Ovis aries: one gene and its partners. The protein of the gene in region 2 purifies or fractionates together with the protein of the main gene of each other region. This does not show direct contact. Links are inferred from orthologs where the notes say so. Each region holds a gene or a part of one and is shown on either strand. Other genes may lie near its edges.

What was found.
Region 1: the proteins of SNRPB (region 2) and ZGPAT purify together in Homo sapiens (affinity purification with mass spectrometry; 3 studies listed by BioGRID and IntAct, with this or other methods). This does not show direct contact. The link is inferred for Ovis aries from reciprocal best matches to the Homo sapiens genes SNRPB and ZGPAT.
Region 3: the proteins of SNRPB (region 2) and DDX23 purify together in Homo sapiens (co-immunoprecipitation; 3 studies listed by BioGRID and IntAct, with this or other methods). This does not show direct contact. The link is inferred for Ovis aries from reciprocal best matches to the Homo sapiens genes SNRPB and DDX23.
Region 4: the proteins of SNRPB (region 2) and SF3B3 purify together in Homo sapiens (affinity purification with mass spectrometry; 3 studies listed by BioGRID and IntAct, with this or other methods). This does not show direct contact. The link is inferred for Ovis aries from reciprocal best matches to the Homo sapiens genes SNRPB and SF3B3.
Region 5: the proteins of SNRPB (region 2) and SMNDC1 purify together in Homo sapiens (affinity purification with mass spectrometry; 3 studies listed by BioGRID and IntAct, with this or other methods). This does not show direct contact. The link is inferred for Ovis aries from reciprocal best matches to the Homo sapiens genes SNRPB and SMNDC1.
Region 6: the proteins of SNRPB (region 2) and SNRPB2 purify together in Homo sapiens (affinity purification with mass spectrometry; 3 studies listed by BioGRID and IntAct, with this or other methods). This does not show direct contact. The link is inferred for Ovis aries from reciprocal best matches to the Homo sapiens genes SNRPB and SNRPB2.
Region 7: the proteins of SNRPB (region 2) and SF3A3 purify together in Homo sapiens (affinity purification with mass spectrometry; 4 studies listed by BioGRID and IntAct, with this or other methods). This does not show direct contact. The link is inferred for Ovis aries from reciprocal best matches to the Homo sapiens genes SNRPB and SF3A3.

The regions. Positions count from the first base shown.
Region 1 is NC_056066.1:53,744,868-53,749,044, reverse strand, and holds the start of ZGPAT (zinc finger CCCH-type with G patch domain-containing protein), read left to right. Parts: upstream 1-1,377; coding exon 1,378-1,964; intron 1,965-4,177. Other genes in the region: ARFRP1 (ADP-ribosylation factor-related protein 1), read right to left, coding at 84-176. UniProt on the Homo sapiens protein: Transcription repressor that specifically binds the 5'-GGAG[GA]A[GA]A-3' consensus sequence. Represses transcription by recruiting the chromatin multiprotein complex NuRD to target promoters.
Region 2 is NC_056066.1:52,392,153-52,396,431, reverse strand, and holds the start of SNRPB (small nuclear ribonucleoprotein-associated proteins B and B'), read right to left. Parts: upstream 2,801-4,279; 5' UTR 2,698-2,800; coding exon 2,695-2,697; intron 20-2,694; coding exon 1-19. UniProt on the Homo sapiens protein: Plays a role in pre-mRNA splicing as a core component of the spliceosomal U1, U2, U4 and U5 small nuclear ribonucleoproteins (snRNPs), the building blocks of the spliceosome.
Region 3 is NC_056056.1:137,338,863-137,343,097, forward strand, and holds the start of DDX23 (probable ATP-dependent RNA helicase DDX23), read left to right. Parts: upstream 1-1,435; 5' UTR 1,436-1,519; intron 1,520-1,996; 5' UTR 1,997-2,064; intron 2,065-4,235. UniProt on the Homo sapiens protein: Involved in pre-mRNA splicing and its phosphorylated form (by SRPK2) is required for spliceosomal B complex formation.
Region 4 is NC_056067.1:1,098,706-1,102,205, reverse strand, and holds part of SF3B3 (splicing factor 3B subunit 3), read left to right. Parts: intron 1-497; coding exon 498-663; intron 664-1,172; coding exon 1,173-1,268; intron 1,269-3,500. UniProt on the Homo sapiens protein: Component of the 17S U2 SnRNP complex of the spliceosome, a large ribonucleoprotein complex that removes introns from transcribed pre-mRNAs.
Region 5 is NC_056075.1:30,411,048-30,414,547, forward strand, and holds part of SMNDC1 (survival of motor neuron-related-splicing factor 30), read right to left. Parts: coding exon 3,403-3,500; intron 2,785-3,402; coding exon 2,623-2,784; intron 562-2,622; coding exon 408-561; intron 1-407. UniProt on the Homo sapiens protein: Involved in spliceosome assembly.
Region 6 is NC_056066.1:10,398,374-10,402,669, reverse strand, and holds the end of SNRPB2 (U2 small nuclear ribonucleoprotein B''), read right to left. Parts: intron 3,891-4,296; coding exon 3,750-3,890; intron 3,133-3,749; coding exon 3,082-3,132; intron 1,441-3,081; coding exon 1,352-1,440; intron 869-1,351; coding exon 709-868; 3' UTR 501-708; downstream 1-500. UniProt on the Homo sapiens protein: Involved in pre-mRNA splicing as component of the spliceosome. Associated with sn-RNP U2, where it contributes to the binding of stem loop IV of U2 snRNA.
Region 7 is NC_056054.1:12,733,427-12,737,365, forward strand, and holds the start of SF3A3 (splicing factor 3A subunit 3), read right to left. Parts: upstream 2,801-3,939; 5' UTR 2,714-2,800; coding exon 2,618-2,713; intron 2,341-2,617; coding exon 2,293-2,340; intron 997-2,292; coding exon 944-996; intron 838-943; coding exon 732-837; intron 1-731. UniProt on the Homo sapiens protein: Component of the 17S U2 SnRNP complex of the spliceosome, a large ribonucleoprotein complex that removes introns from transcribed pre-mRNAs.

The DNA of each region.
Region 1 (4,177 bases), about 1.4 Mb from region 2:
CCGGGGTGGAGAACACGCAGCTAAAAAAAACACCGAAAGGACTGTGGGGGTGGGGGATGGCGCTGACACGGAGCCACACTCACCGTCTTCCCGGCGTTGTCCAGACCCAGGATCAGGACGCAGTACTCGTCCTTCTGGAACATGTACTTGTATAGGCCCGACAGCAGCGTGTACATCCTGCCCTGGGCACCCGAGATCGGTCACGGACGAGACGGCCCGCACCGTGGACAGAGGGTCCCGCTGCCCGCACGGCCGCTCACAGCTGGAGCCCAGGGCCCTCCTGGCTCTGCCTCCCCTCCCTTCCCCTCCGCCCGCCTTCGCCTCCGCAACTGCTACAGAATCGCCCCGGCGCTCCAGGTGCCCACACGCCCTCTCCGGCCCGGCCAGGGCGCTCTGTTCGCAGGCAGAGGGCAGCCTGCCCCGCCCCGCTTCTCGCTGCTCCCCCGCCCGGGCTCCCTTCAGGCTTTGCTCCCCTCGGGTCTCCTTAACCAACGCCCCCTTCGCTCGCGGCCCGCCGCGAACGCCTCTCAGAGGCGGGGCGTCTGAGGGCTGGTGACTGCCCAGAGCAGTCGTGAGGCGGGCGGGCGGCGCGGACAGACTGCGGACCGGTCGCCGAGCCTGGGCCCAGCTCCACCCACCCGCCTCGATGTACCTGCGACCGTCCGGCCGGACCGCCGAGCCGCAGAGCAGGGGAACCGCCTTGCGCCTGACCCACCGACCCGGCGCTAAACCCGCGCGGCGCCTGACGGGACAGGCGCCGGTCGGCCGAGGAGGGGGCGGAGCCTTCCCGGCAGCCCCCGCGCCAGACACTTCCGCCGGCGGCGGTGCTCGGGCGGAAGCGCCTGTGGGCTGCAAGGGCGGAAGTGGGGCGCCGGACGGCTTTGGCCGGTGAGGCCGGCTGGCCGTCTGTGGCGGCGGCCGGGAAACCGCTCGGAGGAGGGCCTGGCCGGGGCGAGGGGGTCTGGGCAACGGGGCCTTGGCCCGAGGTTGCTGGCCGAGCGGAGACGGGCGGCGCGAGGCCGCAGAGGTGGGCCCGGCGGGGGACACAAGACTTGGACGCATAGACCCCGGAAGAGCTTGAAGGCAGCTCCCGGGAAGGGAATCGAGGCCGTGGGGCTAGTGGCCAAGGGCCAGCTTTGGCTCCTCCTCTCGGAGCTTGAAATATCTCCACGTCCAAACGAAGAGACTGCTGTTCACGGTTCCGCAGGCTGACCACCGAGGGTTGCAGTCGGCCAACGCTCAGTGTCGGCGTTGTGGGGGCCGTCTGTCCCAGACTCATCTGGCTTCTCTTCTCCGCAGCTCTGGCTCCCACGCCTCCCCTCTGAGGACCCAGGGACCCAGCCCCGCAGGCGCGGGAAATCGGCCCCTCCCGCCAGGATGGACGAGGAGAGCCTGCAGACCGCCCTCCGGACCTACGACGCGCAGCTGCAGCAGGTGGAGCTGGCCCTGGGCGCTGGCCTGGATCCCTCGGAACTGGCCGACCTGCGCCAGCTGCAGGGAGACCTGAAGGAGCTGATCGAGCTCACTGAGGCCAGCCTGGTGTCTATCAGGAAGAGCAAGCTGCTGGCGGCGCTGGATGGAGAGCGCCCAGTCCAGGAGGATGCTGAGCCTTTGGCTTTCCAAAATGCCATCGTGGAGACGGCGGAGGTGCCAGTAGCCCCCGGGGCAGAACTGGAGACTGTTCCTTCGAGAGAGACTGGGCCAGGACCCACGGAGCCTGGGCAGGAGGAGGACGACGGGGAGGACGAGGAGGGCGGGGCAGCACTGAGTGGAAGAAAGGTGAACGCCCCCTACTACAGTGCCTGGGGCACCCTGGAGTATCACAACGCCATGGTAGTGGGCACCGAGGAGGCGGACGACGGCTCCCCGGGCGTGCGCGTACTCTATCTCTACCCCACTCACAAGTCCCTGAAGCCCTGCCCGTTCTTCCTGGAGGGGAAGTGCCGCTTCCAGGAAAACTGCAGGTAAGGCTTGAGTTCTCTAGGCCACTAGCAGGGGGCGGGGGGGGGGGGGGGGGGGGGGGGGGGAGAGGGCCGCGGGGACTTGCGGACAGAACCTTTGCAGTTCTTTGCAGTTTTGTTTTTCTTGGCCGAGCAAAATGCTGAGAAGAAGAGAACTTTATAGAGGCAGGGGGTTCTTCTAGCAGTATCCTTCATTAGGGGGTCTTCTTGACTTTTCCCCAGGTATGTCAGGAGTACAGAAGGGTTTATGTTGAAAAGAATGGAGCCCTCCCCCCCCCCCCCCCCCGCCGCCTTTCCGTGACCTGTCCTATGCTTCAAAGTGAAACTTCTAAAATTTACTTATATTTTAGATATTTTATTAGAGAAGTGGTCAAACACCCAGGTAACTAGGGAGAGTAGCATAGAGACTGCTCACATGTCATGGTAGGTCAATGTTTTGCTGCTCTTGTATTCTCTGTTCCTGCCCCTGGAGTATTTTAAAGCAGGTTGTAGGACTTACTGGGCATTTTGCCTGTAAGTACTTCAGGATGCCGGCTTAACCTAAGTGACAAGGATGTTAAGTTAAAAATTACCTCCGTGTCACTCTCACACCTCACCAACTTAACAGCAAGACCTTGTTCGTATTTAATCACGAATGTAATGATGTTGTGTTTTCCTTATGTACATTATGTTTAATTTTGCTTCTTTTTCCTTTCCAAGGAATATTTCCTGAGATTTCTAGTAGATGATTTTCTTCTTTAATCAGTAGTCCAGGGTAACTATTCAATATCTTCAGTTGTTTGGTTATCTTATTTCTTTACAGATTTTTGCTGGGCCCAGAGTCTTATTTGGTGCGGTTCCCCTTTTTTTCCTTTTTCCTCATGAGTTTTGTGAAAAGTGTAGTGTACATACAGGAAAGTGCATGAATCAGTCATAAGCCTCCTTGAGCTTCCACAGGGTGGGTGCTGCCTTGTCCCCCAGCAGAGAGTTAAGGATCAGAGCAGGGAGCCCTCCATCCTTCCTGCCATGGTCCCTCTGGAGGGTTCCTCCCCGTCCCTGTGCCACGTCCATGTGGGGATGAGAACTGACGTATTCATGTGCTGCTTCCTCTGGGCAGCACTGTTCCAGGGGTTTCACGTGTATTCACTCACCTGGCAGCAAGCCTGCCAGGTAGGCCCTACAGCTGCTGTGGTTGCTGGACCCCCGAGGGGCAGTCCGGCTCTGAAATGCTGCTGCCTGCTGTCAGCTTCAGGCCTGACCCATGCAGCCCACCCACCCCACCACCACCCAGGTGTAACAGTTATTTTGTTGCTTTTACTTTGGATTTTTAGTTTAAAAATTTACTTATTTAAAATTTTATTGTAAAGATAAAGTAGTGTTGAAGCACCCTGGGACCTGCTTTCTATCCTCCCCTCCTGGGAGGCTTGCCACAACTATGATGAGCATCTCTCTAGCGTGTGAATCCTTTACAGGCACGTGTGTCTGTGAACAGAATATTCTTGTGCTTTATTTTCTAATTAAACTATGTTGTACAGCCTGCTTTGTTTTGCAACTTGCTCTTCTCACTGAGCGTGTCTGGGAGAGAAGTTTACATAGATATTTATAGGACTGTTTTGTGCATTTTAACTACTATTATTTTTCCTCATTCATATGCCACAGTTTATTTTGTCTCCTGGTGTTTACCAGTTTTTATTTACTAAAAAGAACACACTGAAAATCCTAGTACACATCTTTTGTCTCTGTTGGGAATGTCCCCAGTGTGGATGGCATGAGCATTTTCTTTCCTTGCGCGCTGTCTGCTTCTAAGCCCCTGGTCTGCTCTGTCGTGGTCACCCTAGTCACTCTTGGTCACGTTCTCTAACTTGGGGATTCGTACCTACTGAAGTGAAGAGGTGGTCTTGATTGAACTTGTATTTCCTCGATTATTAGGAAGATTGCATATTTTTTCATACGTTGTTCTAACTTTATCGCTCTGTGTTTCAGTATCCTTTTCCATAAAAAGGAGAGGAGCATGTCTTTTGCAGTTGTTGAGAGGCTGGAATGCATTAATATGCATAAAAAAACAGTACCTAACATGGAATAAGGACACAGTGGACTTAAAATTTTTATCTTGTTGTGAGAAAGGTCAAATCCAGAAAGTAAAGACAGCACAAGGGATCACTGTAACACTCAAGTACTCAGCTGAAAACTACAAAGCTGCCGGTTACTCTGGGGTCCTCTGTGCCTCAGCCCAAACA
Region 2 (4,279 bases):
TGCTGCTCTTGCCCACCGTCTGCAAGGAGAAATCAGCAGGAATGAGACTCAGCTCTTTTGGACCCACAAAACTGCTGCCTTTCCTTAAAACTTCTGCTGCAGCCTTATTTTCTGTTTGTCCTTCTCAGTATTCTCAGTTCTATCTTTCAACCACAGCCATTTCCTAGGAATTCTCTCACCTGTTTTCAAACCTGACCTGTTATTGTCCCTTCTCGTAAAATCATCTTTTTCATATAACAATTGCCTTTGTCTATGTTGCATATCTTTGTCTATGCTGTAGTCATATATGGATGTGAGAGTTGGACTATAAAGAAAGCTGAGCACAGAAGAACTGATGCTTTTGTACTGTGGAGTCGGAGAAGACTCTTGAGAGTCCCTTGGACTGCAAGGAGATCCAACCAGTCCATCCTAAAGGAAATCAGTCCTGAATATTCATTGGAAGGACTGATGCTGCAGCTGAAACTCCAATACTTTGGCCACCTGATGCGAAGAACTGACTCATTTGAAAAGACCCTGATGCTGGGAAAGATTAAAGGTGGGAGGAGGGGACGACAGAGGATGAAATGGTTGCATGGCATCACCAACTCAATGGACATGAGTTTGAGTAAACTCCAGGAGTTGGTGATGGACAGGGAGGCCTGGTGTGCTGCAGTCCATGGGGTCACAAAGAGTTGGACACAACTGAGGGACTGAACTGGATTCAATGTTGTATTATGTTTCAGAAGTGAGAGGGTAAGATGGCTCCAAACTACTGAACCCCATGCATATTAGAGATCAGTGGCCATCTACCACTGTGCAGATTACAGGTGACTCCAGTGCTGTGGAACACCACCATCCCATTAAAAAGACTGAGGTAAAAAAAAAAAAAAAAAAAAAAAACACCGAGTAAAAGAGCTGGAATGGGACTGGCACTAAGAACCCAATCAATGAAGAGCCTGTTATCAGAAAGGAGATGAACAGCTTAGAAGAGGAGAATGGAACCACCGAATCAGTGATTTGTTAGTGTGCCTCCAAGACTATATTCAGCAACGTCAAAACTTCCTAGTAACCAGAGTGCTAATGAGTTTGAACACATAATGAGAATATACAAGCTGCTATACTCCTTAACCCAACAACCTTTTCTCCTTCACAGCCTGGCTTCAAATGTAGTTGTGCTAAAATAGAGTATACAGACCTCACAAGAGGACTGTCAAGTGCCCTTGGCAGTTACATCTCTATGAATAAACATTTGTTATATCAGCCTCCCATTAGTTTGACCAGTCTTAACTCATCCAAGAGCCTTTGAGGTACCAGGCACTGTGGTTGCTATTCATCTCTGTGAGGTTGAACAAACACAGGTTTTCTGAACGTACAAATGCATGGATCAGAATCTTGACTCCTGTTACCCTGGAGACTCAAGTTATGCGGTGCAGTTTCTTTTACATGACCATTTTAACCAAACTGTAACCACAGCTTCTAACCACTCGTGTCTGAACCTTTACAGTAACATTTACAGCTCCATTTGTCTTCTACAGCTAATTCGCACTGGGCGCTGACTGGCAGGCACTGCCACAAGCACTACTTATCTCATTTAATCCTTAAAATCAGACTTTACAGATGAGGTCACATGGCTGTAAGAGGTCAAGCTGTGCTGAAAGCTAGTGAGCCTGAATCCAGTGCCTACTTTTCTAACCAACTCTCTAAACTACACCCTGCTTCCGGTTCACCCGATATATAACAGCTACCTAACAGTTATCTTTCTGAACACAAATAAGTACGTGTCCTTTTGCTTGTTAAAAATCCTTCAATGGCATCCCTTACCACTAACAAAATTAAATAGCATGTAAAGCCTTTAATAACCAGATTCCCGCCATTTCCTCCCACCAACATTCTTCCCTTTCCCCTCTAAGAATCTTCAACAATGCTACCCTTCACGCTTTGTTCTTGCAGTCCTTCGGATCTATACCATTCTTTCCCATTTTCGCCCGAGTCTTAGGACTCTGACAGGGATCACCGAGTCTAGAAAACATTCTTATCTCGCTCCCCGCCGTTACTTTTACTTAACGCTGAATTACCACTCCGAATTATGTTACCCGTGTCTCCAAATAAGAGTGAACGCAGTGAAGAAAGGAAACACTTCATTGTGTAGCCCCAGGGCCTGAAAAGTCAGGCGTACTCAAGCATAAATGCTGAACAAAAGAGTTAAACTTTTCCTCCCTCACTCATCCTCCGTTCCCTCCTCCCCATCTACCAGAATCAACACTGTTTCCGGCCACAAGTCCTTCCACGTCTTTCCGCAACTCCTCGGACCCTCACCCTTCACAAGTCTGAGCCTCTCACTCGGTCTTACTCAGTCCTTCTACGGCGCTAGTGCTTGCTCAGAAGCCCCCTACACACATACATGCCGCAAAGTTTACTCAGCGCCTGTGGGATCCCACAGCGGCTTGGAGAGACCCAGCCCTAACCTCGCGCGTACCAAGCGACTTCTGGCCTCGGTCCCTTATTTCCAGCCTTCTACCCCACCCCCCACCCCGGACCCCCTCGCCCAGTCCACCGAGGGACGACGGTGTGAGTCTTTCCTACGCAGACGGAGGCGCCGCGGCCCGGGCCTTCACCCCCTGAGCGGCCAACCCATGACCTCCTTCCTGGTTAATCGCGATCCCCACCCCACAAGAGGCTCAGGAGCTCCCGTGCTGCTGGTCTGCGCCTCCTCACCATGGTGGCGGTTCTGATGGCTCAGATTCCCGCCGGATTCGTCTTCGTGGAGGCCTAGAAGCCCGCGAGTAACTCGCTTCCCGCCGCCGCTACCGGAAATGTAACCGCAGGGAAAATGGGGTCGGGTAGCAAGCTGCTTCCGGTCCCGGAGTTGGGCCTTGAGTTCCGGCCGAGGCGCTGAGTTATGAGCTTAGGGCAGGGCGGAACTTTGGGCGGTGCTATCTTCGGATCCTCTTTGTTGGACTGCTTCCCGGCTTCAGTCGGTACTTAGAGCTGCTCCTTTTCACCTTCACCACCCATTCCCCCGCGTCCCAGCCCGTTAACTTTCGGTCCTCATCTCCCAGCACTTTATCCCGGCTCTCTTGTCTACAGGACTTTCGTGGTAGTTCAGCTGGTAAAGAATCTGCCTGTAATGCAGGAGACCCCTGTTTGATTCCTGGGTCGGGAAGATCCCCTGGAGAAGGGATGGGCTACTGACTCCGATATTCTGGCCTGGAGAATTCCATGGACTGTATCAGCCCATGGGGTCGCAGAGTCAGACACCACTGAGCGACTTTCACTTTCATCTCTTGTCTACAGCCACAGTCCCTGCTTTTCCGTGAACTTACTCGACCTGCTTCTGCACAGCACCTTTGCTGTTGCCTCTGCCTAGAATGCTAGTCGTCCATGTATGTGCACGGCTGACAGCCTCACCTTCATGAATTAAGTTCAAGTAACGTTTTCCCACTGAGGGCTTTCCTGGCCGTCCTTTTCTAAAACTGAAACCTTCCCACCCATCCCTGTTTTATTAACACCTTTCTCCTTAACACTGATTGCTAACATACTGTATGTGTGTTATTATCCCTCCGCATTAGAATGTGAGTTCAAAGGATATGAATTTTTCTTTGTCCATTGTTCATTGCTGTAGTGCCTAGAACACTGCTTAGCACATAACAAGGGCTTAATAAATATTTGAATGAATGAATTTATCAGTCACTCCCATCCAGTCCCATGACTTTTTTTTCAATGATAACCTTTACTAAAATGTCCTAACACACACACACAAAATGTATTTCCAATGCATTACAGAAAATATGACCATTCAGGTAAAGACACAAAAAAGAAAATTAATGTTTTAATTTTTTTATATTTTGAATTTCCATAATTTTTTTTGTATTTTTGAGATTTGGACAAAATCTATACTTTAGTTAGTAATACTATATTACACGCTAATTTTCTTGTTTTTTTTGCAGCATATTTCTTTATATATTCAGAATTGAATTAGAAGTGTCAAGCCTAATTCAAATTTTTTTTATCACTAAGATAATAAACTTTTAAGACTTTTTTTCTAGATGCCAAAATACATGGAAGTATTTCAGAATTTTAAGTGAATATAAATTAGAAGTCTAGAATTCTATTAAGGCTAAGTTAAACAAGTGGAATCAAAATGTCAAATATTTTATTTAGGCAAAAATTCACAAGTTTTATAAAATATGTATATATTATATTATACATACTATTTATGTATATATTTGTGTATACAAAAGCTTTTCTACTATGCTTAGTAAACACTTGAGAAAGGACGTCAAAAAAAAAGAGAGAAATT
Region 3 (4,235 bases), on a different chromosome or scaffold from region 2:
TAAGTATCCAGCACAGAGTTGGGCAGTAGAAGATAACTTAGTTAAGAGCAGTCGCAGCTCTACCCCTTGGTCTGATTGCTAGTTCCAGTCTGTGAGTGGAGAGCCCTCCAGTGTTCACTGGGCGAATTACACCTAACTGATCTCGGACAACTTTTTCCTTCCCTTTTCTGAGGTCCAAGAGGGCAGATAAAGGCTTCAGAGTTCTAAGAGCAGAAGGATGCCTCTCCTGGGGTTACTGTTGGACTTTGTGCAGTGAGGTTCCGAGTTTTAGGTTATTTGGGCTTACTCCAGGCTCTACTTCAGCAGCACTGAACACATTCAGAGCGAAAAACCAGACCAAGAGCCGTGTGGGATTGAAACCCAAAAGCTTGTGATGGTAAAAAAGGAAAGGAAGGAGACGTTAGTTACTTCCTGGTCCGTGGTGCTGCAAAGAGTCGGACACGATTGAAGCGACTTAGCATGAACGCATCTATCTAAACCATCCTAGAAGTTGTCAAGATTTTTGTTTTGGGGAGGAAGGGAGGTAGAATTATTAACCACAAGACCAAAGAGAAACAAAATGAAAGTACAGTTTTTTTGGGGAAAAAGCTCATTGGAGGACTGAAGAGAGAGAAAGAAAAAGTATTAAGGTAACCCAAACAACTGGCCAGATTCCAAAGAGCGAGAAAGTGAAAAGGGCAGGTCCTATCTGGGATGTTTAGAAAACCAGGTGTCACAGCCCGGAAGATACTATCTTTCCAAGAGGTGCAATCCACTGTGTGAGCTCATTTCAAAATGTTCAAAATGTTGTAACAGTAACTACGGTGTTACCGCGGGGGCCAGGGTTGTTAATATGTTCTCCCAAAGCTGGGATAGTCTCACACAATGAACTGTCCCACCCTCACTGGTAAATACTAGGCTGCTCCTGTAACTTAAATTTTCATTTGTCCACCTGTAAATAATCTATCTCAAAGATTTTTTTTTAAACCCACTTTTCCACAAATGGTAAAGTATTTATTGCTGTTAGTACAGTTGCTAGTTGTAACTACGTGCTATTGATATATAAGTTCAGTTCAGTCGCTCAGTCGTATTCGACTATTTGCGACCCCATGAATTGCAGCACGCCAGGCGAGTTCATATGTAAGGAAAGCCTTAAATTACTCCGTTGTAAGCCACGGGCCATGATGTCGTTAACTACAGTTTTCAGTAAAACCAGCATATTCCAGGAGGGCTGCGCCCGCAGAGAGAAAAACCTTCTGATGAAAGTCCACCTATGAACAACTCTTCCTCCCACAGACTCAAATGTTTGGCGAACCACATTGCCCAGCGGCCCCCGCGTCCCGGGACCGGCGCTCGCGCCGTGCATTCGGGGATTGGTAGTTCTCGGCCCCGCGTTGTTGGCCTCCGCTGCCCGGGACCAGGAACTCGCCTTCCCGGCTTGCCGCGCGGCCGAGGGAGCAGCCCGGCGACCAGGAAACGGGAAAGATGGCGACTACTCGGCGACGTTGAGGCCGCGTTGGGCGGTTTGGGCTCAAGAGTGGTGAGTCTCGGGCGATGGAAGCGGTTTCCACGAGCCTGCAGAGAAGGCGAGAATGAGGGCACAGCGGTCGACCCTGTCTCTGGGACGAGGAGAGGAAGAACGCCATAGGGAAAGGGCACGAGCTTGGAAAGACCTATCCGGCAGGAGCGAAGGGGCGCGGGCCCCAGTGGGAGTGTTGGCTCCGGCGGGGATAGGGCAGGTCCCTGGACGATGTTACGGGTCAGACCTTTGCCCATGCGCACAGCACCCGTGATATCCTCAGTCCGATCTTATTCTTTCATGTTTGGAGTAGCCCTTGCTCCAGCCAAACTGAAACTCTGGCTTTTCTCCCATAACTAGTCATGCTTTCCCGCCTCTGCGCCTCCTGTATTATTTCTTTTGCCGGGAATGACTTATTTCCGGAACCCTCAATTACACATCTTCAAATTCTACCTATATTTTAATACTCAAGAGCCATTTCCTCTACACTCTTTCCAGATTTCCTTTTTCAAGTGAAAGGAAACTTCTTTGAAGTCGTGCAGCAATTCATCTGAGCCTGCATCTTGGTATGTGTCTTATATCCTCTATTGTTTTGTAAGCTTCCTGTGGACAGGATCTTGCTGATTTCCTTTTGTAACTCACACTGTGCCTAGCACTGTGCCTTGCATATGGTGGTTGTTTGATAAATGCATACTTCATTGAATGAAATGAAGTTCCTTCAATGAAGTTCCTCAGTGCTGTCCTGCAAGCACTGAGGAACTCAAAGATCCGGAGGTTTGTGATGAGTAGAACCTACAATAAAAGTTGCCTGTGTTTACTGTCTGCTTATTTGCACTTCTCATTTTTTTCTAAACTCATTGCACTCAGGCTTTTACCCCCACCATGCCATTAAAACAGCTCTTGTCATCTCTGTTTTTACAAAGGTGAGGGTGAGTCCTTTATCTTCCAGTCTTTCTCCACTTGACACAGATCAGCATTCCCTCCTTGAAACACATTTTTGGCTTCTGTGATGGCATACTTTACTATCTTTTCTTGTTTTTCACTGGCTATTGTTTCTTTCCAGTTTTCTTCTCTGGCTTCTATGCCTGACTTCTAAACGTTACAGTGTTTCAGAGCTCAATCCTGGGTCCTGTTTTTAGAACAAATATTTATGACTGAGTTGGGTCTTAGTTGCAGTTCCGGTAGTGAGGGGGTGGCGGCGCTGTGGTGTAGGTTTTCTCCTGCCAGCGCTTGGGCTCTCTAGTTGGGGCAGGTGGGCTTAGTTGCTTTGCAGCATGTGAGATCTTACTTTCTTGACCAGGGATCCAACCTGTGTGCCCTGCATTGAAAGGTGGGTTCTTAACCACTGGGCTACCAGGGAAGTCCCTGGGTCCTCCTCTGTTTTCTTCCTAACTAGAATGCCTACTTAGATAATAATCATTTAGTGTCCTATGGTTTTAAAAGCCGTCTGTATATTGATAACTCACATTACTGTTTCCAACTCTCTCCTAAGTTCCAGAATTGCATTTTCAGCTGCCTTCCTGGAATCGCCACTTGGTTTTCTTACTGACATCTTACATTCACCGGGATCAAAATGAAACATTAAATTTCTTCCTCCATCTTCTCCTTCCCCAGTCTTCTGCAGTCACTAATGGTGCTGTGAGCCATTTAAGTTGGTCAGGCCATATAGGAGTTTGAGTGTCTCCTGTTTGCTTCCTCCCTTCATCAGTAAGTCCTGTTAGCTCTGTCTTCAGAATCTGCCTTGAGGCTCTCTTCTTTCCGTCTCCACTCTCACTTTCCTAGAACAAAACATTGTTACCTTTTTAAAAATATTTATTTATTTATTTGGCTGTACCGGGTCTTAGTTGGACACAAGGAATTGTTTAGTTGTGGCATACAAACTCTTAGTTGTGGCATGTGGAATCTAGCTCCCCGACCAAGGATCAGGCCTGGGCCCCTTGCATTGGGAGTGCAGTCTTGGCCACTGAACCACCAGAGAGGTCCCCACTGTTATCTTCTGTCTGGATTACCATAATAGCATTCTCAGTGGTTCCGTGTCCATTTTTGCCTTTTGCAAGTCACCGAAGTGATTCTTTAAAAATGTAAAATAAGACCATATTACTTCTGGTTTAACACCTTTTTAAGTTTCCCACTGCAGTTAAACTAAAAGCCAAGTTCTTCTAGCCTGCCCTAAAACACGTTTCCGTGATCTGACTCCTGCCTACCTCCTTGAACGCATCTTGAGCCAGTTTTCCTCTTGGTCACTGCCACTCCTGACCACATGAGTATTTTTTTTTTGGCAGTGCTGCATAGCTTGCAGGATATTAGTTTCCTGACCAAGGATTGAACCTGGCCCTGGCATTGTGAGGGCCTAACTATTGGACCACCAGGGAATTCCACACGTGCCTATTTTTAGTTAGCAAACATGCTAAGCTAGCTCTTGCCTCAGTGTCTTGCTGTTCCTTCTACACAATAAATTCTTTTCCTTGATTTTTATGGACTCTCTATTTCTCATCATTCAAGTCTCAGCTTACATGTCATTTAAAAAATTCTTTCCAGAGCCCTCTTGTTCATGCTGCTCCCCATCACACACCCTGCTTTGTTCTCTCATTAGCACTTACACTGTTTGAAATTCTCTTATTTTCTGCCTAACTGCTGTCTGCTTCACTGGAATTTAAGCAGTATGAGTTCAGAGGCTTTGTTTTGCTTACTGCTGTATCTCCAGTACTGGAACAGTTTCTGGCGCCTCTCAGGTACT
Region 4 (3,500 bases), on a different chromosome or scaffold from region 2:
CCACTATATGTATGTACCACATACTATTTACCTGTTAATGGACACCTGGATTCTTTCCACCTTTTGGCTGTTGAGAGTAATGCAGCATTGGACGCTGGTGTGCAAATATCTGTTTTAGTCTTTGTTTTAAATTCTTTTGGGTATGTACCCTGTTCTTAAAGACATAGAAAACCCTAGTCAGTAAGCAGAGATCTCAAACTGTAGATGCCGACTCAATATTAAAGTGATTTATGAGCATTATGTTGATGGCAGACATCTTCAGAAGTACTTTTTAAATGCTTATTGGGTTTTTCCCCTTCCAGTTTTACAGAGATAAAATTGAAATACAGCGCTGTGTAAGTTTAAGGTATGCAGCATAGTGATTTGACTTACACACATCATGAAATGGTTATCACAGTTAATCTCATTTGGTTCATGTATAACATATGGAAGTGTTAATTATATTTATAATGTACATCAGAGAAAACATTTTACCTGAAATCTTTGCCTCTCCCTAGTTACTTGTATCAAATCGCGCATCTTGGAGATGACGACGAGGAACCTGAGTTTTCATCTGCCATGCCTCTAGAAGAAGGAGACACGTTCTTCTTTCAGCCAAGACCACTGAAAAACCTTGTGTTGGTTGATGAGTTGGACAGCCTCTCTCCCATTTTGTTTTGCCAGGTGAGGATCTTTCAAGTCACTACATAATGAGCAGTGCTAACCAACTATTTTTTAATATGAATGAGTTTAAAGTTTTAATTCAAATTAACCTCATAGTCTAAAGAGGTTCAGCAGCATATCTGTGGACCCGCCGGGGTATAAGGGTAAAATAGCTGAAGGCAGTTGGGGGGTTAAAAAGCGTTACATAAATCCTTGGGCTTAAAGTGGTTAAGACTCTACATTTCTACTGCAGGGGGCACAAGTTCCATCTCTGTTCAGGGAACCAAGATCCCACGTGCTGTGTGACCAAAACAAAGAACTGATAAAAGCTTTTTTTGTTTGTAAAACTTGCTGCTTCAAACTGCTTGCTTTTCGGGACATTGGGTCTTTTTTTCACTCCATGTGCCCAGGGCCCGTAGTAATATTTAAGCCTAATAAACTAAAAAAGTGGTTTGTCCCCATGAGAATAATCAAGTTTGTGTGTGGGAAAGTAGCACAAGTAGGCATTTCTCCCCCTTTTCTTTGTGCAGATAGCTGATCTGGCCAATGAAGACACTCCCCAGCTCTATGTGGCCTGTGGTAGGGGACCGCGGTCATCTCTGAGAGTCTTAAGGCATGGACTTGAGGTAAGATTGAAATTTCTAGATCATATGCAGGGTTTGGAGGCAAGTGCTAGCAAAGCAGCCTAAGGCTTTATTCTGATGATATCAAAGATGTATTCAGTGTTTATGTGAAACAAAAATGTTTTTCTCTTCACCTGTTTCCATAAAGTTTACAGTTTAAATTTCCTAATCTTTAACATGTCAACACAATAGGCACTTTAAAAATTTGGCAAATGGATATCAAAGGGGAAAAATACCTGTTAATTCCAGGTTCACTTGCCACAATGTGTAGGTTGAGAAGTCTGACTTGCGTGGCACATTTTATTGCACCTCATTTTAGTCTTGATCTTTCTGCATAGTTTTTAGATACTTACATTTTAAACTATGTTAAATACAGTATATATATGTATTTATATCTTACTAAGTTTATTTCTTATTACTATGTGCTTTTAAGTCGTACAATTTTTAATGTTTTTGCAGTGTAGCTTCACAGTGGGTGGATCAGAATTTATTTAATGAATCCTTTATTGTTGGACATTTTAGGTGAAATGGACACTCAAAATTATCTTCTCAAATCCCATATCCTTTTCTCATCATGGTTCTTGTGTTGATGCATTTTAGCAAGCCCTGGGCTTGATTTTGTTAGGAATAAAATAAATCTTCCTATGGCAGTTACTTTTAGCAGTTGGGGTTGGCAAACTCCAGGCTCTTAGAGGCCCACTGCCTGTTTTTTGTAAATTTTTATTGGAACACAGGCAAGGTGACCTTTGTTTTGAATTTTGGCTCTACTTAATTGTTACTAAGCTGTTGTTTCCTCTTCTGTAAAATGGGCTTAATAGCATCTGCCTTAAGGATTGCTGTATGAATTAAATGAGAATGCAGATGAAGTACTTGGTCAAGTTCTGGCTTATAGTAACTGTTCAATAAACGTTAGCTATCAATATTGCTGTCTCAGGGGACTTAAAAAGTTTTGACTGCCTGAATATTCATCAAGTCACCAAAATTTCAGTGACTTGAACCTAATTTAGACCAATAGTTCTTGATAAGTTACTTGCTCCTCATTGGATCCCAGTGATCATCTGGTGAAAGTAAGCACTCAAACACAAAAAAATGTACACATGCGTTAACACTGTGTGCATGGTGTTGGGAGAGAAAGAGCCTGATGGAGAATCGTTGGTTTTGAGTCCTCTGCTGCCTCCTAATTTTTTCTAATTCTATTTTTTAAAATCTGTTATGCAAAAAATATTTTTTTAATTGCTGGACATTGCTTTCTTCCTGTGTATGTTTGTTGAATCTTGTTCAGCTAGATTATGGTCTCAGTTGAGCAGAGTCACTGTCAGATAGTGTAGCGTACATGACATTGAGATTTTATTGATTGTGAAGTTTCCCAAGATTCTCCTGTACCATGATCAGGTACTCTTGCTACCATTACCTGGATAAACCAACAAAAGGATAAAATAAAATGCCTTTCATATGTATTCTTGAGTCCTTCCTGTAAAATGTAGCTCACTGTTCAATTGCACAATATGATAGGCTGTCTTGCTTTTTATCTCTAGGTCATTTTAAAATATTTAATAAAATTTTTATCTTAGGTGGTCTTAGATTTACAGAAAAATTGCAAGGATATTATAGACAGTTAATGTTTAGTCCACACCTTGTTTTCTCCTCTGGATCATTTTGAGTTTATCTTACATATTTTATTTATTCTCATTTGAAAGTCTATATGACATTCAGAGGAGTCTTGACTGTGACATTAAGGGGCATAAAAATCAAGTAGGAAGGACAAAACAGTTCCTCAGATTACTTTCAGATAAGTGTCCTAAGCGGTGATGATTGTGATTCCTGAGAACTTACAGGAGGGAGAGATGACTGCCAGCTCAGAAAATAGGGAAGATTTTTTTCCTAAAGGATGTGGTATTTGAATTGTTTGGTGAAGAGATGTGGAATTTCGCCTTAAGGGAGCAAAGGAAAGGAAAGGATGCTAATTGAGATGGACTGTTTCATTCCCACATGCTTGCTTTTTGTGGAGGATGCAGGCATGTTATCCTCAAAAGGAAGCATTTGGCCTTGGCTGCAGCAGCTATCCTAGATGTCCCATCACTGCTTGCTGAAGGCAGTGTTGGGAATCGACAGTACCTCTAGCCGTTTGGTTCTTAATCTTCTGTTTGACTAGCTGGTTCCAGTGTTTTAATCCAGTGTACACTGTGAGCACTGCTATATTATGGGGACTGTATTATCTAGTGTGATTGTAAACAA
Region 5 (3,500 bases), on a different chromosome or scaffold from region 2:
CTTGATTGGTTTTGGAAAAAACTAAAATTTCAAAATACACCTTTAAGGAAAAGTACATCAAGAAAACTTGAGTGATCAAAAAATCTTCCAGTGATACCCAATGTAAGTAAGTGGTATGTAAGATAGCACACAGGTTTTCAAATTATAGTTTGTAAAAGAAAATAACCTAGATCTTTTAAAATTCCTAATATAAATTCATTCACAGTGCTTCCACTGCAGAGACAGTGGCTAATGGGGATATTTTATATTCAGTAAGTCAAAAAGAAGATTAAAGAGGATTCTTGAATTCAAGATCCAGTTGTATTTTTTTAAATCTCATTGAACCTCCTTTTTCATTTTAAAGTTATTTTAATGACAGCCACACTCTGCAAATTTACAAAGTACGTATGATGAAAGAATTTACTAACCTGGCCTTTTTTGTTTTTAGAATAGGCTCTGTTGTTGAACTGTTGCCATTTTACCTTCTGGTCCTCTCTTTCTTGTTCAAGTTCTTTTATTCTCTGTGCCTTTTTCAAAGCTTTCTTCTTTTTATATTCACGCTGCTGGGCAATCATTTCTTTTCTGTGTGGACAAAACAGGTAAATGTCAATTCAAAATGACCTCAACTAAAAGATGACTTCAGTGCAACCACTCTCCCGCCAAAGAAACCCCAAAATCGAGTAAGTTTACACACTTTTCCCTCCACAAATAAAAGCACTAACAATGCCAGCTCTAACACCAATGCCAATCACTCAGGACTAGTAAAAAATAAATGTTATTTGGAATATACAGTATCCTTGGAAGCTTTTAAACACAACTGTAGTAATCTATTACCCATTTAAATCCAATATTTCAACTGACTTTTAATTTGTCATTTACATAGCTTTTACAAGTTTTGTTTCAAGAAAAGATGAGTTTCAACATGAAAAGCTAACTAAACCTTTATCAATTTTTAAATGGGCAGTTAGCAAGTATGATATGCTGCATTTGGAAAATGCAAAGATTCAGTGCAGATAAAATTATTTCATCTTGATTGGAAGAGCTCAGCAGCACAAAGGGAAATCACAGCTAGCAATTCTTAAAACAAAAACAACTAGGGTTTTCCAATCAGAGCCTGAAAGTTCTCTCAGTAATTCCTGCTAAGTTAAGACTTATCACCAAAGGAATGAATACAGAGGTATTCAAAATGAGGTAATATGATTCAGACTTCTCTGTATCATATAATCACTTCCATGAAGTATGGTTTTTACACAATGTCAAAGACTAAAAGTAGAAATCTCATGTTGTCCTACAATCTATTTTTCTTATTGGAATGCTTAAATCAAATGTTATTGTTAATAGATGATATAATTTTCCCAAATTCAAATATATTTATGTAGCAAATTAAGTTCTGAAAACACCTAGACAAACCAAAAGATGGCAAACTGTGATAAATATGCAGAAGTTAACTGAAAACTGTTAATTCCATCTTCTAAACAACTCTCAAACCATGCATGGCTCCATCCTTACTGCTGCTCCCTTGGTTCAGGTCACCATCATCTTATACCTGGATGATAGCAGCAGCTGCCTTCTCTCTGCTGCCAGTAATCACTCAAAAGTTCAAATATGAACATATCAAATGCTCTCCACTTGAAATGCATCAGTGGCTTTCTAGCTCTTTATGATCTGGCCTCTACCTTTCTAACCTCTTTCTCTTGTTAAGCTACCCACCCTCAAGCCCCAAGTTTTTAACCAAAGGATTTCTTTCTGTTACTTCTATGTTCCCCCCCATTAATGTACTTCTTGTTTAACTTGTTAAGTCATGTCTGACTCTCTGCAACCCCACAAACTACAGCCCGCCAGGCTCCTTTGTCCATGGAATTCCCCCAAGAATACTGGAGTGGGTGTCCATTTCCTTCTCCAGGGGATCTTCCTGACCCAAGGATCAAACCCACATCTCCTGCACTGGCAGGTGGGTCTTTATCACTGAGCCACCAGGAAAGCCTATGTGTCAAGAACTGTGCCACATGTTTTACTCAAGCTATGAATGAATCCTTACAACCCCATAATGGAGATACTACTATCCCTGTTTTATAGATGAGGAATCAGAAGGTAAGCAGCTTGCTCAAGATCATACCTTCTAGTTCATTAACTGGCCAACATCTGTCCTTTTCAAATCTCAGTTTACATGTCATTTCCTCCAAGAAATTTGCCCTCATGACAAAAATGCAGCTTGTTACCTTTTCTTTGTTCTCTAAAAGTATCTGTTGTGTTCCCTCCATTACTTCTACATTAAAGTTCTTCTTTAATTATGTGTCTATTCTTCAGATTGTAAACACAGTTAGGACAAGGCCTATTTTGGTCTTCTTTGCTGTGGTGGAACCCAGAACCTGGTTTAGTGAGATATACTCTTAATTTTAATCTTAAGATATCCTCTTAATAAATAGGTATTAAATGCCTAAGCAGGAACCCCAAAATGTCTTCACTTTACCTAGGTATACATATTAACAGACACTGTTAACCATACACTGCTAACCTTCAAAATAATTGTAAACAGTATTATAACTTTCTTACCCTAGTATAGCCTGCACAGATTCTGCAGACAACCTCAAATACCCAAATGGGGAAGATTACATTTAAAATGCTAAAGTCAAAGTCACTTACTTTGACATGGGTTTGTTGCCACTGTCCTCCTTTGCCTTCCTTCCTTCTTCTACAGGCTTGAGGTTCAACAGTGGAGTCACTTCAGCATTGCCATAGCCAGCAAAAGTGATTGCAGCGGTGCCGTTTTCTTCATCTATCTCCTCAATCTCCGCTTCATAACACCTGTAAAGATATCATGGCTGTAAGCAGGTGAGTAAAGGTTTAGTACTCAGCCTATAAGACTTATACTGCAGTGATTCAACTATTAAATGTGTCTAAAATGAAACATACAATCAAACGTCCCTTTGGCAAAGATAATACAAAAGAGCAGCTAGAGTTAGCCACTGGTTTTTAAGGAAGGAAGTCCCAACCAAAATATTGCCCAGAAGTCTCTGACACATCTACTAAATGTGTTTTAGTCATTTCTGTGAGAAAACATACTTCTTATATGAATCATTTCAGTATATGTGCATCATGGAAGTCTAAGAGAGCCAACCATTACTCAACTTGCAACCCAAAGAGAAAAGCACTTATAGACTGTATTAAAATAAAGAAAATCCATTCACTTTCCTCTATTTCATGTCTATTTCCTCTAGCATCTAAGCCATTCTTCTGCCCTAAAACTTACTCTAAAGCTAAAAACTAAACTATAGGAATGGTAACCACCCAAGAATCAAATCGGTTGTTTAAGTCATATCAGCCATATAAAGACTAAAATAGAGTAGTTCAAGCTGAATAAAAATCACCTTACCATTGTACTTTACTAGTTCATGTTAAGTTACAGTTTTTTTCTACACTTACTGTCCATCTTCACTCCAGATTGCCATACACTTGTCTCCTACTTTCCATGAATGAGTGGGCTGAGTAGAAGCAAAGTTGTCTGAACTTGCCAGAGTTTC
Region 6 (4,296 bases), about 42 Mb from region 2:
ATTCAGATCCTGCCCAGGTCTCATTTTCTTCTAATATGCAGGATGATCATTACTATTATTAGTACAAGTTTAAGTATTAGTATTGGTACAAGTATGAGTAAAAAAGGGACTTCCCTGGTGGCGCAGCGGGTAAGACTCTGTGCTCCCGAAGCAGCAGGGCCTGCGTTTGATTCACTCTCAGGGAACTAGATCCTACCTGCCACAACCAAAGATCCCACATGCTGCAACTAAGACTCAGTGCAGCCAAATAAATAAATACATGAATGAATAACACAAAAATAAGTCCCAGGATGGCAGTTCATATGCATAAAAAATAACACAGAAAATCTAATCAAGTGCTTGATCTAATTCTTTTACTTTTATTAAAGTGTCTCTACCATTAGCTGCTCCAAGATGACACTAGAAAAGCATCCCATTACAGTTTATGTACCTTAAGATGTGTCCTAGCCTAGCACCAGCATTTGATGATAGGGCAGTGGGTCAATAAATGAAATACTAGGTAAGGAATACAAATAAAAATTTTATTGTACAAAATTAAGGCCTTCACAGTTCACTAAGGCTAAACAGAGACTACGTAACCTTTCAAATCCTTTACAAAAAGCTCACATACACTTCCCCTTTCCCAGCTATTAAAATGAACTGATCAAATGCTATCAAAACGAAAGCTATAAATAACAGTGAGTCCTTTAAAGACAGCTATCCCAAATGTTATTTTTTGGCATAGGTGATCTTCATGGCATGGGACGGTGTGATCTTAAATCCTTGCAGAGCATCCCTAGCAGCTCCAGCCTGTCCATCATTTTCAAATTCAACAAAAGCGATGTCATGCCTCCCAGGTACCAAACGTACTTCCTTGAAACCAGGGAACCTATAATGAATGAAAACAATGCTTACATATGTAAACAATTTATATATATACAAATATAGAAATGACATCAAATACAAAATGTCTATTCTGTATTTAAATTTGTTAAGCAACATCATGATGTATGTCCAGGAAAATGATCACATCCCACCAAGAATCCTGAGTGGGATGAAAGAGCCTGAAATATAATTAATACCATGAAAAGAACGGCAGGAATCATGTAAGCCAATTCTATTCCTGTCACTTCATCAAAGCTTTGTCTTCTACTTTACTTATCAATTAGAATTAATAATTCAAACGTTAGAGGTAATTCAGCTTCTTATTTGCTTAATCTGCATACTGGTTTCAATTCAAGATTAATTCTGGAGCAAATCAATGAAGCCGTAAGGAATTATTGTATGGTATACAAACGGATTCAACCCAGGGAAGTGCTATCTATCCTGTCAGGAGGCTCTCAGAACACAGACTGTTTATGAAAACACTTACTGATTAAACAGCATGGAGAGCATCATCTCATTAGTCTCTTCTGGTAGATTATTAAGGAATAAAATATAGTTTGGAGGGTAATCAGGAACCTATTAAAAAGAAAAGGCCAAGTTAACTTAGAAGTATAAAAAGCATACTAAGTCACTTTGGCTCATACATTTAAATCTAAATTTCAGATAATTACATTCCACAGTTTAAGGCTTATGAAATCTTACCACATCAAGCTCTAAAGGTGAAAAACAGTGACATCAGAGAAGTAAACAAAACCTAACAGTAATTAAGACTGACATTCAAGTCACTTAGGAAATATTTGGAAGATTATAAATCTTATCAACAGTTTTAAAGTATTTAAATATTAAGTATTTAATTAACAGTCTTTAAAATAATATTTAAGTTTTAAGGATCTGGAGGCAGCTGGAATAGAAGGCTTTTGTCATCTGGATTATATAACTGGTCTTAACAAAACCAGAGATGGCATTGGTGTCACCCATCCTCAGCTGCTTAACCCTCAGATACTCAATCCTACTGCATACTACCTCCCAGTGTGTAAGAAAATTAAAAAAAAAAAAAAAAAAGATTTCCACTTAGTGCTACAACTACGGAGCCCATGCTCTGCAACAAGAGAAGCCACTGCAATGAGAAGCCCGCACACCGCAGCTAGAGTGTAGCCCCCACTCACACAACTAGAGAAAGTTTGTGCATAGCAACGAAGACCCAAAGTAGCCAAAAATAAAAAAATTGATAGAGAAAAAGAGAAAGTTTCCATGTAGAACCTATATTTGGCGACTTTTCATGTGTTTCCCAAGTAAACGAGAGTGAATTTCTCGGGAGAAAAGAGATGAAATGTACAGAACTGAGGGCTTAGAGAATTATGTGCTGGACCTCAGCTGCTGGGAGACTTCTAAGCAGTAGACAATGTGAGAACCTTAAAGTCAGAGGAGGAAACCTCAGTGGTGCAAGGGATTCCCTGGAGGTAAGGATCCTGTCGGACGCTAGCACCTAAGGGACCAAGTGGGAAACCATTAGTGTATAACTCAAGATTTCTGAGGCCTTTATTGGGAAGATTTAGTAGCGTTTCCTGATAAGTCTATATTGTGCTAAGTTGCTTCAGTTGAGTCTGACTCTTTGCAACCACATGGACTATAGCCGCCAGGGTCCTCGGCCCATGGAATTCTCCAGGCAAGAAAACTGGAGCGGTTGGCCATTTCCTCCTCCAGGGGATCTTCCCAATCCTGGTAAGAACACACGTCTCCTGCAGCTCCTGCACTGCAGGCGGATTCTATACCGTGGAGTCACTGGGTAAAGATCTGTATCAGGAGACTTACACATATATGTACTGAGGAAATAAGAACAAAGGTAACCATAGAACAACTTCGCTCTTTGAGAAAAGATGGGTTAGTGCTTTAGCCAATGGGAATGGATTCCAAGCAACAAGCCCGAAAAGCTCTGGGCCACATCATGTGAAGAAAACAACTATTCTGCTTCTTATCTTTATAGAACTTAGAATATATTGCTTAATCCTGTCATTGATCATTGTGGGAAGCAAGGAATAAAGTCAGGTTTTGTTTTCTTCTTCTTAAAGAAAATGTTTTGAGGAAGGAGGTTCCACATTATTGTGGCTTACAGATGGAATCGTTTTCAGTTTTTGGAGACATGAGGCTTGTTGTACATTACTGCTATTGTTTTGTAATTTTATTTTAAAGTAAGTATCACATGGGAAAAAATATTACCTGAGGATTTGGTGTTGCATTTCCTTGGGTATTAGCTGAATTTGGTGTTCCCTAAAGGAAAAAGAGTGAGAAACAGTTAAAACTTCCAATCCCTCTGAAAAAGTAGCAAGTGTTTAAAATTACTGCACTAAAAATAAGATTAACATAAGATTTTTTTATTCCATTTTATTTTGAGAATTTACATCTTAAAACTCTGACTCGAACATTTATGTATTTGTAACTTGTCAAATATTTTTGAAAGGTCTGTATCATAAAAGTCAACCTCTAAGTTTCAAAATTATGGAGAAATATACAGGAGAAAAACCAAGGACCAGCCTTTCTCACTTTTCTTTTTTTAAAACAACTAGAAAAAAAACTCAAGCATTATACTTATCAAAACTGATTTCTAATTACTTTCAATCCCAAAGTAACTAGTTTTTGGATGATAATTTCACCTTTATCTGGAATTTTTAAATTAGATTTTTGAATTTATGAACTGTTCAAAGAAGACTAATTTCAGTGGAATACTAAATAAAGATAAAATCTATAGTATTATTTATACACAGAACTCGAAAAATAAGCCAACAGATATTAACATATTTTGGATAATGATGGAGGAAGGAGGATAGATGCAAATTCAAATAAAACTGTCTGATATACAACAAAATATGAACTTTTGCCCATCTTACCTGACCAGGCTTTTTGTTCACAGTTGTTGCAGTCTGTTCCACAGTTTTGGCTTTCTTCTTTTCTTTTTTCTTTTCTTTGTCAGCAAAAGTGCCACGCATTTTAGATATTATATCAGAATCTGTTTTGGCATACTGGATTCGCTGTTTTAATTATTTTTTAAAAAGTTATTTTTCATCTACACTTGTCATTAATATTTCAAATTTCATTACACAAATATGAGCTAATTTTAAACACATGCTGAAGGAAATCTGTCAAGTATGCTGAGTGCCAACAGAAAATAAATTGTGGCCCTGATTTGCAACTGAGACAAGGTTAGATTCAACTGTGTTTATTTGAAGAACCATAGATTTTCATATGGGAGAAACAGAACTTGGAAAAATCTGTACCACTGATCCTCTCCACTAAAAGACAGAAAAGAGTACACTGGAAAGCTGTCTATGCCTTACAGGAACGTTCGACAGGTCAAGATGTGCATGGAGTTTGTTACTTCTCAAGTTAAAGTACTGAAGACTGAGAATGACTTTTCTTTGAATCTGGAATATTACT
Region 7 (3,939 bases), on a different chromosome or scaffold from region 2:
GGTGGTCCAGTGGTTAAGACTCCATGCTTCCAATGCAGGGGACACGGTTCTGATCCTTGTTTGGGGAACTAAGAACTCATGAACTATGAGGTGTGGCCACCAAAAAAAAAAAAGAAAGGAGAGAGCGAGCAGGATGGAGGGATGGAGCAGAGAGAGCCTAGACCATGATGTAGATATGAGAAAATCTCACTGAAAGTCTCACAGTGGGCAGAAATAACCAGGCTGTGATACCCCTCCCCCACACTGTGTTCAGTCGCTGGTTAGGGGCTGCCCAGGAATATGTGTGCTCTGTCGCTTCAGTCGTGCCCAACTCTCTTTACGACCCTATGGACTGCAGCCCGCCGAGCTCCTCTGTCCATGGGATTTCCCAAGCAAGAATACTGGAGTGGGTTGACATGTCCTCCTCCAGGGGATCTTCCAGACCCAAGGACTGGACCTGCAACTGCTGCAGTGCAGGCAGTCTTTACCACTGAACCACCAGGGAATTAGCAGGCAGCTTCTTTACCATGAGAGCCACCTGGGAAGCCCTAGAAGAGAATGGCTTTAGCTTAAAGCTGAGGGAAATTCTGAAAGAACTCGCAGTTGCAGGATGTCACCTAACTACGCTGCTTATTGCTAACTGGTAAGTTCCTTTTTGAAAGGACATCTGAATGACCATCTCCATTTTCCTAACACATGTCCTTTGTATACTCTTTGGACAGGACTGGAGAAAAAACTTTGCAAGGTCATACCTCATTTGGGTGCTTCCGGTGGAATTCCTTTATTTGTTTGAGTCTATTATAGAATTCAGCAAACTCATTGGGTCCTGAAATGGCATTGAGCTCCTCTTTTCGTAAGCTGCAATTTCAGAAAAAAATCCAGAAAACATGGAGCACAAAGTCAGTCCTTTAACCATGGCCCCTCAAAAGCAGTAATTGCTGGACTGAATGTGACTGTGACTTACCCATCCTTGTCGTCATACAAATCCCTCAGATTCCCACTGACTTCCATATACCTCTGAAAGGCAAACACAAATCCATTAGAATGAAGCAATCCGCCCGTACAACTGAGACCCAAGCAACCAACAAGGGCTCTCTAGTCAAATCTCAGGAAAACTTCAAGACATGTGGTGTTAAAAGTTCTTATGCTTTCTGGTACCCTTAACAGACAACACTGGCTCCTAGCTAATTTTTAAAACAGGTCACTCTGAAGATTACCTAAGAAATGTGTTTTGAGGGGTGGCAGAGTTCCCATATTTAACTTTCCCTAGAAGAGTCATGGGCTTCCCTGATGGGTCAGTGGTAAAGAATCTGCCTGCCAATGCACAAGACGTGGGTTGGATCCCTGGGTCGGGAGAAGGAAAAGGTAATCCACTCTAGCATTCTTGACTGGGAAATCCCATGGACAGAGGAGCCTGATAAGCTACAGTCCATTGGGTTGCAAGAGTCGGACATGACTTAACAACTAAACAACAGTAGAAGTATTGTATTGTAAAAGAGAGCCATGTGAGAGTCACCCTTTGGAAAACAGCAGTTCCCATCAAAGACTCTCAAAGATAAAAGGGTAGTCCAAGTTGACTTCCACTATTTCAAAAGGCTTGACTAAGGAATGCTCAGGCTAAGTAAAACACCACACAGCTTCCTCTGGATTCAAATTCAGGATGGCACAAGTACATAGCCCATTCTCCAAAACTTTTGGAACCAGATTTGCTTCTGAATTTGGAATTCAGGAAGGTACTACATGAAATATCCCTAGTGGGATCTGGAAAACACATTAATTAGTTCTGCAGTGAAAGTTATGTTATTTATTGAATGGGATAAAGACCATAAAAAACCTCTCATCTGATCAGATCAAGTCAGATTTTTGCCACCAAATAATTTCCAAAACAAATTAAAACATCTTTTGTTTTCAGAATACTTTGGATTTGGGAATCTAAATAAGGGATTAGGGGCTAGTAATATTTATCTATCCTAATTCAGAAACTCTGATTAGGGTCTTTATTTTTTTTTCTATGGGGGAGAAGGAGAGTACCTTCTAAGCCTGAGGCATTGACACCTCATAACTACTCTTTGCACATCCATGGGACACAGGATGCTGTAAAGGGGATCTTCTCTAGTAATTAAAAATGAGTAAGAGTACTCCATTCGGAGAAGGGAGTAAGGGTGGTTAAACATCCTCAGGGTTGCTTTCGGCGCGTACATTCGGCAGGCATACAAACTCCTCGACTGGCCAATCGGCTACCTTTTTCCCGCACCCCCTCCCTCCTCTTCCAGTCTACCGTGCCCAAAGAGAAGCGGACAGCGGGACACTCACATCTTGCATGGCCCGCGTGCGGTGGTCAGAATTGATCTGGTCCCGGAGCTGAAAAAAGGCAAACGGTGACATATACGCCGTTAGTCGGAATTCTGGAGTTGGGAAGGCCGCCCGAGGGCGGAGCTTACCTGCTCGGGTCTTAGCAGCCCAAGCAGAGAGGCCTCTGGGCGCTGGGCCCCGGGGAAAGGTTACCTAGGCCTGAGCTCGGGGAGGGAATCCCCCGAAGGGCTCGGGGCGGGGCGGGTCTGAGGGCTGAAAAAAACTCTGAGGTTAAACCCGGGCCGGGGGCCCGGCCTTACGGTAGCCCCTGCCTAGGTCCACTCACCGTGGACTTCTTAGTGAGCATCTCTTTGGCCATGACATCCATAAGCCGTTCCTTCTCCTCATGATAGCGCCGCTGCTGCTCCAGAATCGTTTCCATCTTCCCTCCTCCTTCTCCTCCCCCGCCGCCGCAGTCGCTGCCGCCCCAGCTCAAGCCAGTCCACCAACACGACCGGAAACAACCCCTGCCGCCTTGCGCGCCCGCGTCCGCAAGTTACGAGTCCGGAGGCACCAAAGTTCCGCGGTTGCCGGAAGTTCCTCGGGGACTCGAGGAAAAGTGAGCACCGCTAAAGACCCAGTCCGTGCTATGGAGACTGCTGCAGTGCCCCCTGCTGGCCGGAGGTGTGTGGCGCGATACCGAACGATTTGCAGGTGCCTCTAGGGGGCACACAGAAATCCATCAGCCTGGCGTTAAGGAATCTGACCTGGCCGGCGGGGACTTCCCTAGCTGTGCGGCCGTGCTGGTAGGGACCTGGACTGAGTAGCTGACGCGCACGTATGGGAGCTGATGAACCGGAACTTGAGTCTCCAGCTCAGTGTGACCTGTGACAACGTTTTTCCCTCAGTAAAATGGGAATGATCGCGGGTTTTTTTCCTTTCATTTATTCTTTTCTTTCTCCTTCCCTTCCTCTCTTTTGTTATGTGGAAACAACCTAATTGTCTATCAGCAGTGCTGCGTGCGTGCTAAGTCGCTTCAATCATGTTCGATTCCTTGCGACCCTATGGACCATAACCCGCCAGGGTCCTCTGTCCAAGAGGTTCTTCAGGCAAGAATACTGGAGTGGGTCTCCATCCCCTCCTCCAGGGGATCTTCCCCATCCAGGGAACAAACCCACATCTCTTATGTCTCCTGCATTAGCAGACAGGTTCTTTACCACTAGTGCCACCTGGGAAACCCAAGGGACTGGTTAAATAAAATATAGTGCATTCAAGCAGTAAAATATTATATAACTGGAAAAAAAAAAACCGAAACAAGTCTATATGCCCACATCTAGCTGGAGAAATGAAAACCTATGTCCATATGTGCAGACATGCATAGCAGCACTATTCATTATCAACAAAGCTGCTACCCCCAGTCATTAACTGGTAAATATACAAACCAAATATGGTGTATCCATACAATGGAACATTATTCAGCAATAAAGGAGTGTTACAATATGGATGAACCATGAAAGCATCATGTTATGTGAAAGAAAGCAGACACGCAGAAAAAAACAACAACACACACACACACACACACATTAGTGGACGTCCAGATGGCAAATCTACAGAGACAGAAAGTAGGTGAGTGGTTGCCTGCTGCTAGAGGTGAGATGGGAAGGAAAT